Oreochromis niloticus: one gene and its partner. The protein of the gene in region 1 purifies or fractionates together with the protein of each later gene. This does not show direct contact. Links are inferred from orthologs where the notes say so. Each region holds a gene or a part of one and is shown in the gene's direction. Other genes may lie near its edges.

Evidence for each region.
Region 2: the proteins of ago1 (region 1) and trinucleotide repeat-containing gene 6A protein purify together in Homo sapiens (affinity purification with mass spectrometry; 10 studies listed by BioGRID and IntAct, with this or other methods). This does not show direct contact. The link is inferred for Oreochromis niloticus from reciprocal best matches to the Homo sapiens genes AGO1 and TNRC6A.

What each region holds. Positions count from the first base shown.
Region 1 is NC_031976.2:28,008,080-28,015,902, forward strand, and holds the start of ago1 (protein argonaute-1), read left to right. Parts: upstream 1-4,807; 5' UTR 4,808-5,297; coding exon 5,298-5,322; intron 5,323-7,823. Other genes in the region: dehydrodolichyl diphosphate synthase complex subunit DHDDS, read right to left, coding at 1-127, 223-339, 1,496-1,565, 1,673-1,776.
Region 2 is NC_031969.2:12,149,815-12,157,960, reverse strand, and holds the start of trinucleotide repeat-containing gene 6A protein, read left to right. Parts: upstream 1-4,988; 5' UTR 4,989-5,070; intron 5,071-8,146. Other genes in the region: E3 ubiquitin-protein ligase RBBP6, read left to right, coding at 1-622.

The sequences.
Region 1 (7,823 bases):
TTTCAAACTTCTGCTTGGCGAGCTCCATCAAACCATCCACCTCATCTTTAGTGCGCTTGAAGTTCTCAATGCTGAAGGCATACACCGTCACCTCTGGGATGTTCAGATGCTTGCACCAACGTAGTGTCTGGTGTGGAGAAGACGAGGCATTTTGGCACACATCATCAATTTGTTTCTGCCCATGTGACATGCATTTCCTGTAGCCGAAAACCCCAAACTCACCTCTGCCAGCTTGTTGAAGCCCTGCATGTGTCCTTCCTGCCGTTCCATGTTTTTCTTACGTGCAAAACGTCGATTACCATCCATGATGAAGGCCACATGTTTAGGCATGGGTCCTGCCTGGAAGACAACAGTCAAAAGAGTCAAAAGAAATGCAGAAGAAGCATTAATGCGATCTAATCTATAAAAGACCAACACTGTCTAATTCCATGTAAATATCTGCTGATATCTTATCACAAAAATGTCATGTACAACTTTTTTCTAAACATTTCAAATTTAAACAAAATAAAACTCATCACCATCAACTAATAGGTTTGCATTTTGAACCCAGGACTTGCATTTTGAACGATAACTAAAAAGTGATTCCCTGTGGCCCCCTCAGGGGTTACAGCTCATGCCCCTAGATATTTAATTAAGAACTATTATTATTTGTAAGCTATTCTTTATGGTATTTTCTGAATCTTAACCTTGTCAAATAAATATATAAATAGTTTGATGTTTTCTAAATGGCTCTGTTTGTCACTCCATTTTCCATCCAGATACTCTGAAATGACATACTTTGATTTTTGTCAAGGCACAAGAGAAATCTAAACACATTTCATTCAACTATACAAAATATAACATTCAAAAATAATTTCCTCTTTTCTGAAATTATATAGAGTGAAAATTATATTTAATCAAAATCTACCAGCCTGCATAATTTCCAGATTTCTTTTAATGCACATAATTGGGGCATCCCCAGAAATGTCATATTTTAACAGGGTTTTATTTTTCCCACAAAGATACTTAGCTTTTTCCATCAGGCCATCAGACTGCTAAACACTTCATAGACACCTCACTTTCACTTACCGGAACTTCAACATTATGCACTCCATACTGTACATAAATGCCATTTCTTTTGCACAATATCCAACTGCTAACCTCTGTATGTTTTGTTTTATTTTATTTACATATATGTATGCACACACACACACACACACACACACACACACACACACGTATATATACATATTTGGTATACATATTCATTAATGTGCATACATTCTTATATTTGTACATATATTTATTCTTATTATTCTCAGATTCCCATTCTTATATTTTGCACACCTCTGTTGCTTGTGAAGCTTGCACAGAAGAATTTCACTCGTATGCGCTGTACCAGTGTACCAGCACATGTGATGTGACAATAAAAGTGATTTGATTTGAGTCGCAGAAAGGCAGAAGACCGACAAAAGCGAGGCTGAAAAAGACAGTCAACTTATAACGTACAGCTTACCTTTAGGATATTGGCAGAAATCTTTTCAAGCAGGGACAACTCGCCTTCTTTTATCCACGACATATCCGTGCTGCCGAAAGACAGAAAGATTTATTTATAAAAAGGTGGGGGGGGGGATTCAAAGAGCACTCCTACCGCACACACTCCCTCTTCCAGAAATAGAAAAAAAAACTTCACCAAGTTTTAGCTTTCACGAAAGGGAAGGCATCTCGTTCCCACATTAACGTCCCATTTTTAGAAGATATTGCATTACATTTGCAGCCACTTATGGATTTCACCATTAACTGCAAGCCCGGCTCACGAGACCTGCAGGGAACTAAACCGCCGCGAGACTGGAAAAGGACTGACGGGCGCCCTCGTTGCCCAGGAAACACTTACAGTGCTTCATTCATTCAAACTACTGAAGCACGAGCTGTTCTACTCACAAACTGCGATCGTTTTATCACATTTCACATACCTTCCAACTCACAGCCTTAACGATGACGACCTCTTCCGTATTGGAGTGAAGTGACGTATGAGCGTGCTGACGACTTCCTGTCAGCAGTTAGTAGATTTTTGAATCATGAGGATGGACGCACGCTACGCTTCAATGAAAGGACCGACTGTGATTTCCTTAACTAAAGGGAAGTGATCTTCTCAACGTTTACTGAAGTAAAACACCACAATATGAACTAAGGGATGACAAGTAAATTCAAATCTATTATTTATGTCTTTTTAAAAAATATTAAATCGAACATAAAAAGCCAAAGACACATCAATGACACAGCAGGGGTTTGACGGGGTTTTTTGTAATATAAATAAAATAACTTGAGAAAAAAGTAAACAAAACAGTACGTGTTTTAAGTAAATAAATAATGATGAAAAATGTCACTACTAATCCTTTCAGCTGTTTTATTCATATCATATTCACAAAACAATCATTAACACATGTTTGTTTACTGTGTTTCCACGTGCTGCAGTGAATATGACATGTCCGCTGCTATGCAAGAGTCATCATTCTTTACAACTTTTTTTTTTTTTTTTAATAATTTTTTAACATTTTTAGCATTGGCTAATTTTTTTGTATTAAGACACCTAACACTGACCTATGAATCATTCAACATTCACTCAAACAATGAACCTATTTTAAATAGTGTATATGGACACTTTCATACTAGCAATGTGTTGTTGCCATTTATTTACTTGAATCATTGAAAACTTGGCATATCTTGGCATGGTGTGCATTGGGTCCTTTAAAAATCTGAGGAAACTGGACAAGTGGAGGACAACAGAAGATATAGGGGGAAAAATCCAATAATAAATAGAAAAAAATCCAACAAACACCTGACACTGGACCTGAGAGATGCACCTTGCCCTTCAGCTGATCCACCTACTGTTCACTGAGACCTCATCAGAAATCGTGTCAGTGGAAGGGTGGCTGTCAAGAAGCCATTCTTAAGGAATGGAAACGGAGAAAAGGCGGAGGTGTGCCATATTATATAAGAACTGGACTGGAAATCGATGGAAACAGATGTTATGGAGCGATGAATCCAAATGTAAAATGTCTGGTTCAAATCACTGCCAGTAGGTCAGGAGGTCAGGAGAGCAATACAACAGTCTGCAGCTATCTGCTGGTGCAGGCTATAGTTTTAGGCTGCATTACAACCAGTGGTGTTGGGGATCTTGTCAAAATTGATGGAATTATGAATGCAGAAAAGTACTCTCTGCTTTTGAGCCACCATGCAGTGTGGGAATATTTTGACAGAGAACAGAACAAAACACAGCCAACATCTTAAGAAGAGCTTCAAATTGTCCTTTAAGAAGCTTGGAGAACTATTCCTGAAGTCTACTAAAGAAATTACAAGAATATTTGCCTAACAGAGTTCAGGCTGTGTTGGAAAATAAAGGTGGTCCTACCAAATTATAACTATCAAGCACATAAACCTGTACAAACTCTTCCATTGCCTCAAGGGCTGGATTTCCATGCATGTTTGCACATTTCAATAAATTGTTGCACCTATTTCACATTTTCATAGAAAAACATACAAATTGAGCGGTGATTCAAGACTTTCATACAATACTACAGATATAATAATACAGCTACATTATTATATTGATCAAGTTAAAAATAATGTTTTAACTCATTAGTGGAAAAAATATATATTTCAAATGTCAGCCTGTTGAATTTCAACTACCCTAAGTGATTTTCATACGTAACCAACTATGTGTGGGACATGAGAAAAAACATAATGGCAATAAATTAAATAAATATCCACTGTCCCATTTAATTCTTTAAATATTCTCATAAATATATCAACCCTAAAGAATGTTCCAATTGCAAAAATATTGTAAGAATTCAATAGTTCAATTGGAGCTCATTCATTCATTCCTTTATTTCTAGCACCTAAAGTTTATTGGATATGTGCACATTGGTTCTTTTTTCAGTTTCCTGTACAAAATAATCAATGTAGGACTGAAAGAATAAACACTGCATGGTAATTTATTAAAAAATAAAGTATTCTTTCTTGTGCTTTTACTTCTTTTTTTTTCTTTTTTTACAAAGTCAAGCCATGAAAGCATTAAAGACTTAGATATAAATATTGGATTAAAGACTTATATTAAAATATGATTATTAATGACTCAAAAAGCAAATATGTAACAGCAATAAAATGAGTAATTACAGATCAATAAATTAATCATTAAGCCCTTTACTAAAGAAAACATAAACCAAGACAAATGTATAGTTGGCAATACTGATATGCGGCAATTTCTAAAAGAGGAGGAAAAAAGACATGTGAAAGGCTTGGTGGTCACATATCAAGGATGTAGGTTCACATCAATTAAGGTTAAATGCAATATTTCAAGATTGCAAACTGCACAACTGCAATAGCTTTTAATGTGAACATGACAAAGCCAAATGGTCCGCTTTCTGCTTTGGTTGATGCATGTGATGGAAAGGTTTTGAAATTGAGAACTCTTTGACTGTCGATCATCTGTTTCATAAAAGAATGTTAGAATAAATGTGTTTCATAATGTTCTTTAACTTCTTTACACCAGCAGATACATAGGTTATTATGCTCTAGGTTGTTATTAGAGATAATTGTACTGATCTTCCCCCTTTGAGATTAAACTGATCAAACCCCTGATGTAGCACCTTTAAAATGTACTCAGAATATGTTGGTTGTATTTTTAGAGAGAAGTAAGACGTGTGATCATTAGTTTTAAACCTCAGCTTTGAACACACAGTATCAGACACGTGAGACATAATTTGGCTGTATTTGCATATCTGCAGTGTAGTTCCGCCTTCGACCTCTGGGGTGTGACAGCAAGTTCGTCAACACTTCCTTCACACTTTCCAATGGCAAAGAAGAAGTTTCAGATTTTTTGAGGGGGGCGAGGGGCTGGCCTTTTTTGTTCCGCTGGAGAGTCCTGCTTGAACGGTGAGCAGGAGCACAACAGAACGGCAAGAAATTACAGCGCCGCGGACCATCAGCTAAATCAGAGCACCGGGAAGGATCCCGCTGCGCCGCCGAGGAAGAGTGGTTCGAAATAGGACGGCATCGCCCTGCAGCTGCGCCGTTACTGGCTCTAGGGTCAACGGGCAGACGAGCAACTGGCAGCTATCGCCGTTAGCCTTAACTCCTCTGCGGGTCTGGGGGGTTCTGGTAGGGGCAGGGGCGGGGGTACACCGAGAAAGGAGAAGACTGCACGCCGAGAGGAGGGGGCTGGAAGTCTGAGACGCTTCCAGCCTGAAGGGGCCGGCGGTTTGGCCACAGCACCCCCCGGACTAGCTAGCTTGTACCCGCGCGGCTAAGTGAATGGGATGGAGCCGGGACCGTCTGGCGCTGGTAGGTTTATTTTTACTTAAGTGGTTTTAAATGCAACCAATCCGGGTGTATACTGCGGGCCAAACTGCAGCTGATAAAACTAGACACCGTAGCCTGGCCTTAACATCGGGGGGGGATGTACGAGGATGCTTGGTGTCAAGCCTCTCTGTTGCATCGAACGTTTAGAGAAGAGAGGGTGTGAGATGGAGAGGAGCTATCTTGCTGTCTGCATGCACTGCACTCCATAGAAAGCGTTATTATTTGTCCAGATTTATAGCTGCAGATGAGCCTTTTTGGAGTCTGACAATATCCTCAGCCATGCGCGGGGGCAGGGAGGTCGTGGGAATCTTGGTGAGGAGGGACGAGGTGAAGCCCGCCTTCAAGCAGCAGCAGCAGCAGCTGGCTGCACCCGCACGCCCCACAGAACAGACCAGCCTCCCGTTCACTGACAGGTTACGTTTGCTTAAGGTTGTCAAGAGAGAGTTTAGCACAGTGTCCTTAAATGCACACATTAAAGACAACCTCGGGCCTACCATCTGCAGCAATAACTGAATTATTTATCTATGTGAAATAAGAAGGAGGAAAAAAAGGCTTATCTCGTCTTCCTGTTCGAGATGACATAATCTACATTTAGAACTGAGGGAAGCATGTAGAGCATTATATTTATGTGTTGCGGTTTGATTCTGTATCTGCAGACTTATCAGTGCCAGTCAGATCAGAGATGGGCTTCATTTGGCAGTTTTCTTGTTTGACACGGAGGTGTGGAGACCTGCAATTAAAGCACTCACTGGACTTGACTTTATGCCCAGGTCTAAAGTCTGTTTACGGTGGAACTTCTTGAGTGCCCGGCATTAATAATGCAACCACGAATGTCTTAAATATGTCTAATGCATGGCTTTTATAAAGACTTGTATTTTTAATTGATGCAAAATGTTTTGACATGAACTCCGTTAACAATCCCTGAATCCTCTTTGGATATCTTCAGGCTTGTGTTTATGCAAAGCAGGCCTGATGGTAAAATCACGTCATCATTCCAGATCCTGAACCTTGAAATTAGTTGAATAGGCCTGTTTTAATTTCTTAGGATGGGGGGGGGCTTCAGAGGCCCCTTATTTCAACGTCTCCTTTTGTGTTTCAAGTGTGATGATTCAGTTTTCTATTTTGAAAGATTTTTCTGGTTGCCACATTTGGCTCACGGTCAACAGCCAAATACTTGGAGACACACAACTGATTTGGCCAACACAAGTGATGCCTAAATGGATCTTCCTTGCAATTTGTGTACTTGGCTTATAATTTAGCTTATAAGCCAGTAGCTTATATTTTTGGAGGCTAATCGTTCTCTAGTTTTTAACTTTTTTTGTGTGTATTTGTATAGCATCACCAACTACACATCTTTTCCATTACCAGCAAATTTAATGTGGAGTTGTTTAAAAAGTGCACATTGAGGTCTTTTATTTGTTTTATTTGTTGTCCTGCAAAGGAAGCCAAAACAAAACACACAACAACAACAGACGTGTTATCCCAGGTACGACTTTAAAATAGTCGTTCCCATGTGACTTGATCTTATTGCTTATTACGTCATTGTAAAGGATTTAAGTAGCGAGTGTCTTCATGTTGTGATGCAGCGCCAAAGCTCCGCTTTAAGTCTTACCGCCCGGGAAAGACTGCTATTGTGTTGGGATATGTGAGAGGGCTGGCTCCGCTTCTCACCATCTGCCTTCACTGGCACGAGGGCGAAGTGTGTGTCATTGTGTGTGCATGCGCAACAATCAAAACACGGTATAGACACTCATGCATTCACACACGTACATGCTTTCTTGCACATAAAGTACGTACGGGCACCACATGTCTGGTGTCTGTGTTTACAGTGCTTCTCAGATGTGTTTTAGGGACTTGTGATTCTACACTTTGATATTCATATGAACACACACACACACACACACACACACACACACACACACACACACACACACACACACACACATGGACGGGTGACAGATTAAAGGGAAAACCTGAATACTTGACCCCCTACACTGAGGATATTACGTGGTACAGTTGTGCTGCTGGCATGGTTTGTGTCCCAAAAAGTTAGAGACATTGAAAATCAATATTGATTTCTTCTAAGATATCATAATCTGTTGATCACTGTCCTGACGACAGTGATCTCTTCCAGGATGACAGTACCTGCCTTCCGTAGAGCACAAGGGCTCAATGGATAGTTTAGTGTAAAACTGATGTGAATCATATCCTGAGATTTTTACTTGCAGTCACCAGATCTCAACCAAATTGAACACCTACGTCAGACCTGTGTCTGAAGTGTTAGACATTACTCCACCACAATCATTAAAGGGAATATATTTTGAATGAAAGATGTCTAATCCCCTCACTAAACTTGTAAAAAAAATCCAGTGATGTATAAAAGTTGTTCTGATGGTCTAAGATACTTCGATTTTTCCTTTAATCTGTCATATTCACGCTAAGAAGAGAAAACGGTGTTTTATGGCCATTACTCTTCCGATTCG
Region 2 (8,146 bases), on another chromosome or scaffold:
AGATAAAGACTACAGCCACTACCACAGTAACCACCAAGATTCATCAGGGAGTGATCGAAATAAAGACAGAGCTCCAGGGACACACCACTCCCACAGCCGGGGTAAAGGCAGAGACCTGCTCCCCTTTGAATCTCCTGGATACTCTCAAAGAGAATCCCCTCATTTGGGGTTAATGCAGAGCAAAGCTGGAAAAGAAGAGTGGAAACCAAACAAGGCTGAGAAATTAGTCAAAGAAGGCATAGAGGGGAGAGAAAATCGAGGCATGATGGCTGTGCAGGGTGGAGGTGCCTGGTGGGAGCATGAGGCTGATTATAAAGTGGATGGAGAAGAAGGCTGGTTCGGGGGAGGGAGGGATCTGGAGGAAGGGGAGATGCTCAGCAGCCGAAGCAGCAGCGTCGGCTCGTCAGCGAGCCAGGGGAACAGCAAAGACGACAAGAGGACAGAGAAGGAGAGGAAACAAAAAAGGCAGAAAAAAGAGAAAAGGCAGGCGACCCTGGAGCAGCCGCAGGACAGAGAGCTGAAGAAACACACACACAAGAAGTCCAAGAACAGCAGAGAGGGCGCAGAAGAGGAGAGCGGAGGAGAGGGGGCCGACAGGTGGAAACGAAAGGAAAACCACTGATCCCCACTCGGATGTGTCACCTCGACTCTAAAAATAAAGTTAAATTTACTTGAATGATGTTTTTTCTCTGACCAACAGGTGCCTGGATTTTGTTTTTTGTTGTTACTTTTGTTTAATTTTTGCTCCAGGATACGTTTTGTATCACGTTAAGATCTTCATAATTCATTTATAGCATTCGCAATCCTCGTATAAAATTGTGAAGAAACGGCACTTTATACAAAATTCAAAAAAAAGAAATGAATGTGACTGAAATCACAGGGCGAAGCTTAACGCTCTTGAATTATTTTGACTTGAAGGATTTTTGCACTTGTTTACAACTTGCTCAGGACTGCCAGCAGTTACGATTCACATGAATCTGCTATGGATGGAAATCTTACATTTTGAATAGTCAGTCGATAATTTGCCTTGCCTCGCACAGGGGTGCGTTTGGATTACTGAGAAAAAGATTGTAATCATTTAAAATGCACAGCCTTCTGTGAATATTTAGGATTTAACCTCTGTGTTGTATTTTGTTTATTTATTAATTTTTTTTATGTTTAATCTAAAAACTACTGGATAGATGAATGATTTAGTAGAGGCAAGTTTAGTTTTTCCTGTTTTGAGGGAAATAAATAATAATTTAAAAAAATCTAAAATCTTGTGTTTCTGTCTGGATGTCTGCTGATTCTACAAGTGAGGACAAGTGGTAACTGCAGGTTTAATATACAGTACATCTACTTCACTGCACTTTGGATTTGACTTTCTGTTGCATCTTTACCTTAAAGTCTGATTATTTTTGCAGATAAATTCTATTACAATAGATCCAGCTACCACCAATATATAATAAACAGCAGCTATTTATGTACTGTTCTGAAAATCCTGCAGGCCAATTCCTCAATTTTATAATCCTGCTTAAATAGCTGAATAGCACAAGGGTTGTATACTCGATGTAAAATATATTTAAAGTAGATACAGTAAACATTATGTGGGATGTCACTTTTCAGAGTTATGCATTGACATCCTGATTTGGCTGAACCCTGAATGCACTTCCTGAAACAACCCAAAGGAATTTTGTCTCTTTCAGGGATTGAGATTTCAATTTGAGTTTTTGTGTTTTATTCAGTCTAATTTTATTCAGAATGAATTTTCATAATTCAGTTTACTCTTGATCATTTGAATTTTTTTTTAGTTTTATTAGTTTCAGTGTTTGCTTTAGTTTTTGTTTTGTTTTTTAGAATAATATTACATGAAGAGCATATGTGAGAGACAAGATTTGGGAAAATGAGCACAATCGTTAGAATAAAAACTTTTTGAAAATAGTTTAGTCTTGTAACAATCCAAAATCTCAGCACATCCATCAAAGCCTCATCATGCAGGTTGTAATAACGTTTACCAAACAAATACTAAAACTAACATTTCCTCTGTATTTTTTTTTTATTTCAGATTGTTTTCCAAGTTAATAAAACAATTTCAGTTAGTTTTAATATTTTTGAAAAGTCTAGTTTCTATTTTTATTTTAGTTATCTAAAGAGTTTTTTTTTCGTTTCAGACTTTAGTTTATATTCACTAAACTACAATAGTCTTGGTGTAAAACACTACACTATCAAGCTAGAGCAAAATAAATAAATGAAGCTATGAAAAAAATACAGAGTACAAAGTACAATATTTGCGTCTAAAACATAGTGGAGCAGAAGGACAAAATAGAAGATCATGATCCTGAAAAATAATGCTTAATGTTTTTACAGACCTATACGGTGATGGTGCTGTGCAATATTTAACGTTTTGGCATTGATCGTATACCAATTAAATATAAGGCCGATATTGCTGATGCCAATATTGTTATTGTTTCTTTTAACCCATAAAGGCAGCTTATGAAGGGAAGAGCAGTGTGTCATGATTTATGAGATGATGAATAATCATCACTTCTGAACACATTTTAATGACCATGAAATGATTATGATTTATACTTTCCACAAGAATAAATAAGACAATACTATTAATAATACAACAAAACACACTTTTCAGCTTTTCGTGTATTTTGAAAATAGATTTGTCGGAGACCTGGAGTGTAATTGTGCACTTTGGGTCAATTTCTGTTGTTTAAATGTGCATAGGCTATAAAAAAAAATAAAACAGACATGCCAATCAACACAATTCAGTACATACTGCGCTTCTGTATCTATATTTGAATTGATCTACCAACCTTTATATTTAAGTGGTGTTTATCAGACAAGACTTAGGCTAATTTAAATATTTGTATAGCGTATCTTATTTTAATTTGTTTATTTGTTTAACTATCTGCATTGTATCCCCAGTTCTCTAATATGCTCTGTCCTAACTAGTTAACGTTTCCACCCTGCGGCCTTGGCTGCTAACACAACAGGCTAAGCTGTTACTATCACTGTGAGCACGCTAGCATGCTAAAATAGCCAAACTGATATTACTCGTCCTTACTTTAAAATATTCTGAATAAAGTTTTCTCTTCTATCACAGTCAAACGTGTCTATTTAATATATTATTATTATTATTCCTTTTATTACTTCTGGCGGGCTGAGTATGTTGAGTATCCATTATTTCAGCCGCTAAAGGCGGTCAGGTGACTAAAGGCTGGAGCACGGGGCAGGTAGGCTGATTTATGGTTTAAATCCTCCGCTTAAACAGTCCCTGTGAATTAACTGAGTGAATCTGTCAAAGTAAAGAATCTGTACAAAGCTTTGGTGGTCTGTTATTTTTGCTTGGAGTTTGTTTAGCTGTTTAAAAGTGAGTCACATTGGAGTCTTAAGAACAGCTGTATGTAGGCAGCCATATTTCTCTTTAATTATCTGCCAGTACAGGAGACTCTGTTTTCTTCCTTTTTTAGTTAAGAGTTTGAGGGGAAGTTGGTCTGTCCTTGTTTTGTCATATCAGTCAGTGTAGCACTACCACTGTCAGATCCAGGGCTTAGACTGTTGCAAAACTAGAAACTAGTGGAGCATGGTGGCTCTTTTCAATGCAAATTAAATTTAAAGGCTCATATTTCTGCAACTCCTTAAGTTGTAGGAGTACTAAGGTGACTTGTTTGTTTTCTCTAGCTCAGGGGTGGAAAACATTGTTTTAGTTCTTGGGCCACATACAACCTATTTTGTACAAGTAATAATGTTTAAAGGGGCTCGTAACAACTTCTGCAAAATAAAAAAACCCAATCCTGTCTCCTATTACCTTAAAAATTTGCCAGACAAATAAAATCATTATTTCTTGTTCAGTGATCGAGTAAGAAAACAGGTGATGGATATATTTCAAGAGCACTTTCAAGTACATTTTGAATCAACTTTTTTTTTTAAATCTAAATTAATTGACCATCAAACCACATTTGAAAGGTACAAACATTTCACATGTAGATCTTTTGTAACTAAACATCTGGTATTTCATGTCTTTATGATTCAAACAACTAGTCTCAGTTAGAAATGCTCGGACATTTCCCCTCCTGTAGAAATGTTTCACACATTACAATGGGTCACATGGGTCGGGTTAGACAAATTGGTGGGCATGTTATGGCTCCCAGGCTGCATATTTGACACCCCTGAGCTGCAGGTTGGCCAATGTGCATTTAGGTCAGAAAGATTTGTGCTAATTGCTGACGGTTGTGTGGAGCATTATCTGCAGCACTTATGCAGAAAATGAAAAGTTATGAGCAAGTTATTAAAACGCAGGGAAAAAATAATTGCCCTGCTGGTCTCCGTCCAGGACGGTCTTCTCAAGAGCGACTCCTCCTGGTTAAGTAAAGCTTTTGAGTAACATGTTTTCCAGATGTCTTTCTCTTTGGTGTGCAACCTGGCACCTCCGTCCGAATGTTCTAGTGCTTGTAACGTTATCTGAAAATCAAATAGTTGCTCTGCACTTGAGCAGTACTGTGCAAAATTCTTGAGCCACCTCTTATTTCCTTATATTTAGTTTCTAAGGAGCTAGACTTTCTTATTTTTTAAGTGCAGTCTTGAGCAATAGTTCTCCAGCTTTCTGAAAGTTTTGCTTTGGACAATGGCTCATTTTTCACTCATTTATTTAACATAAATTCCTGAAGATTACTTAAAAAAATTAGAAGAAGGTTGACTAAGAGAGCTCAGGCTGTGTTGAAGAATAAAGGTGGTCGTACCAAACTCTGCTTTTTTTTTTCTTATATACTATATTTAAATGTGATTTTTGCATGTTTCAATAAATCACTAAACCTACTGTTCATTTGAAGGGTGACTCAGGACTTCAGTTCTGAAAACATTTATCAAGGCTGTCACGATGAATGATCATTTGCTATTAAACCTGAAATGTGGACATTATCTCTGGAATAGGACACTGTAACACCACCTCTGAGCTCTTTGTCTTTGCACCGTTGCATGTTGCCGTCTCTCCGCTCCAGTTCAAAGCAGCCAACATCTCAGCCAGCTGACCAGAGACTCGCTTCTCCTCCACTCATCTGTCTACTTTGCCTACATTACCAGGTAGAGATGCTCACACTGAACACAATAAATACATTTTTTCCCCCAACTTTACTTCCTGCAACCCTTAAAAAAGCACTTGAATCAAAGCAGGAGCCAAACACAGTTTCACGGAGAACAAAGACGTGCTAACGAAGTCGCTGTTTGGACAGGTTGGTGGTTGTCCGCCATGTTGGGTTTTCTTGTTAGAACAAATATGAAAGACATGCTCAATATGCCTGATGTCTATGCTGGCGTGGGCTGTTGTGCTCACCGTATGTGCGTGTGTGTGTGTGTGTGTTGATGGTTGAAGTCTATCCAAGCATTTCTTGCTTCATTAGCTCACTACAAGGAAAGACATGGCAGAGATCCAGGCTCTCTGTCTTTCTTTCCATCTCTTCTGTTTTACCGCTGTGAGAGTAATCACCCAGTGTTGTGCCAAGGCATGCTGGGATTGAACAGTGGAGATGGTGTGGGTGTGGGTAGGGGGTGCCCGACTTGGCTTGAGTCCAAGCCTCTGATGGAGGGATGCAAGGACACCCGAGGACAGTCGATAATCTGAAATACTTTCATAACAGAAGACGTCCTCTTCTGTTGGCTTGTTGTGTGCTGCTGCATGACCTCCAAGATGGCTGCTGTCATGTGTGCAACATCTGTGTTTGCATTTATTAACCCTCAAACTTCAGTGGATCTTTTTAACCGCTAAATATAAAGATGCAAAGATGGGGGTGTAAGACTGCATCTGTGCATGAAGAAAGCAGACGCACTGACATATGCACAGAGAGACACATCAGACAGTGAGAAAGACAAAAACAGAGCAGCATGGTGAGAGAGACAAAAAGACAGACGCACAAGTATTCACACAGATGCAGCAAAAAAGTGGGTGGCAGACTAAGATGTAAGGAAAAAAGGAAAGTGACCGGCGCATAAAGGCTCATAAAAAATGAGACATGAGACAGACAGAGAGGTGCTGATGCCAGGCAGACACACAGACAACGCTCCAGGCAGGCAGAAGGACAGCCAGACAGACAGACAGGTGGACCCTGTAGCAATCAAGAGCAACATCCTGCTCCTCCTCTCCCAGCGTGGCGTGGATCAGAGCCGAGGTACGCGCCTTTTTTTTTTTTCAAATTTATTTCTCAGCAGTCTTGAGTTCTCCGTCGTCCCGCCGTCTGCTGCGCTTCTTTTCTTTTTGTTTTGGCTGTTTTTCTTTGTTTCTTTCTGTCTTTCGTCTGCGCTTCCTGCCCTCCTTTGTGCCCGTGAGGAGTGCCGACGTCTCAGGGCGCCGTGCCAGCACTGCCGGATGAAGACCAGGCTGTGCCTACCCGTGTGTGTGTGTGTTGGTGTATGCAGATTGGCTTGTTTTGGTTCAGCGGCAGCTGTAAACACTTGTTTGTGGCGTTACACGCATGTGCCTATTGAGCAGAGGACCCGCTGCCAGCCTACACTTTCACGTAATTAAGCCCGAGTCTTTACTAATCAACAGAGCAGAGAAATGCAAATAAATAGTTTTTAGAAACAAAGCGAAGCAAAGATGAAGCAAAAAAGTGAAACATTCACTCTTTGCAGTCAGCGTGAAAGGAAAGCAGTGATGTTATAATTCTCGTAATACTTCATTACGTCTGCAGTGTGAGGATTTTCCTGGTATTTGCTGTTTTAAATGAATTGCCAAGCAAAATGTTCAGGGTCTTTGTTGAGTTTTATTTTAGTTTTAATATTGTTTTAAGGCTCTGAATGTATCCCTGCTATATTGTGCTCATTTGCAACTCCATAACTTCCATCTTAGATCCTTTACATGTGGGAAACCAAGCTGTTATAGCCACCCTACCTTTAAAACAGACTTTGGATAAGTCTTCATCTTTGCAGAGTGATTTCGCAGAATCCAAAAAACTAACAGTGTGTAGACCCACAGCGATGACACTGTGCAGGAAGAATGCTTATTGGTTGAAGTGTCAGCTTAAGCAGGAAAGGGAACGTCAGCGGAGTTCAGCAGAAAGAGGAAGACGCACCAAAAAATAATCAAAGATGTAAAAAAATTGTTTGTTTACGCATCACTGCAACTTTGAATGTATAACTTCTGTGTTCTCTGCAGCAGAGGCTGAACCAAGGGGTCAACAACAGCACAAACACGAGCAGAAGCAGCTTACAACATCATAAGAAACATAAAACACCTCCTTTCAGTACAACTTGTGGCCCGATAACATAACATTTATTTAACATAATATTTGAATTAAACATCATTACTGCAGCACTCAGACAATTAGTCAAACATACAGACAAAACTGACTCCTTTGCTTCATGCTGTGTGCCTTTGTGGATCATATTATAGATATAACCTCCAAGTAGAAAAGACCTGTGGAAACAGGGATTCCTCATTATTTGAAACACGTGCCATGTTTAATTTGAACATAGTCACTGAACTCGTCTATATGTGACTGAAAATGAGGTAAATGGTCAGTTTTAACTTTAAAAAAAGTGACTTTCATTTAATAAATACATGGCATGTATCTGAAATGGTACACAGATTATAAATATTTTGTGCACAGTAGTAAAACAACAAGGACATCATGTTGACCTACAGATGGGGTTTTTTAAGGCGTGAGGAAGCAAGTTTCCTATCTTTCAAGGTTGGATGGGGCAAACACGGAGTAAGAGTGTGGGATATTCCTGATACAGGCAAGCTGCTCATACAAAGAAGTGTTTTTTTACCTCTCAGCTGTAAATGGGTGATGGGCTATTGTTGTCACCCTGTAGCAGCTTCGAATTGAAACCTTAGGTGTGTCTACTAGAAGGCTGAGGCGTACCACTGGTGGCTACAAGTAATTTCTTATATTTACAGTCATTCAACTTTGTTAGGTTAATTGGTTAATTGATGACTAAATTGTCTGTAGGTGTGAATGCGAGCCTTCTCTCTGTATTAGCCCTGCAATAGACTGGGAGCCTGCCAAGGGTGTACCCTGCCTTTCGCCCTGTGGCCCCTCCCCAAACACCCAATGCATAAACGTATAGGTTTTATAAACTTAAATGCCGAAAGTATTTGTTCATCCATCCAAATCATTGAATTCAGGTGTTCAAATCACTTCCATGGCCACAGGTGTAT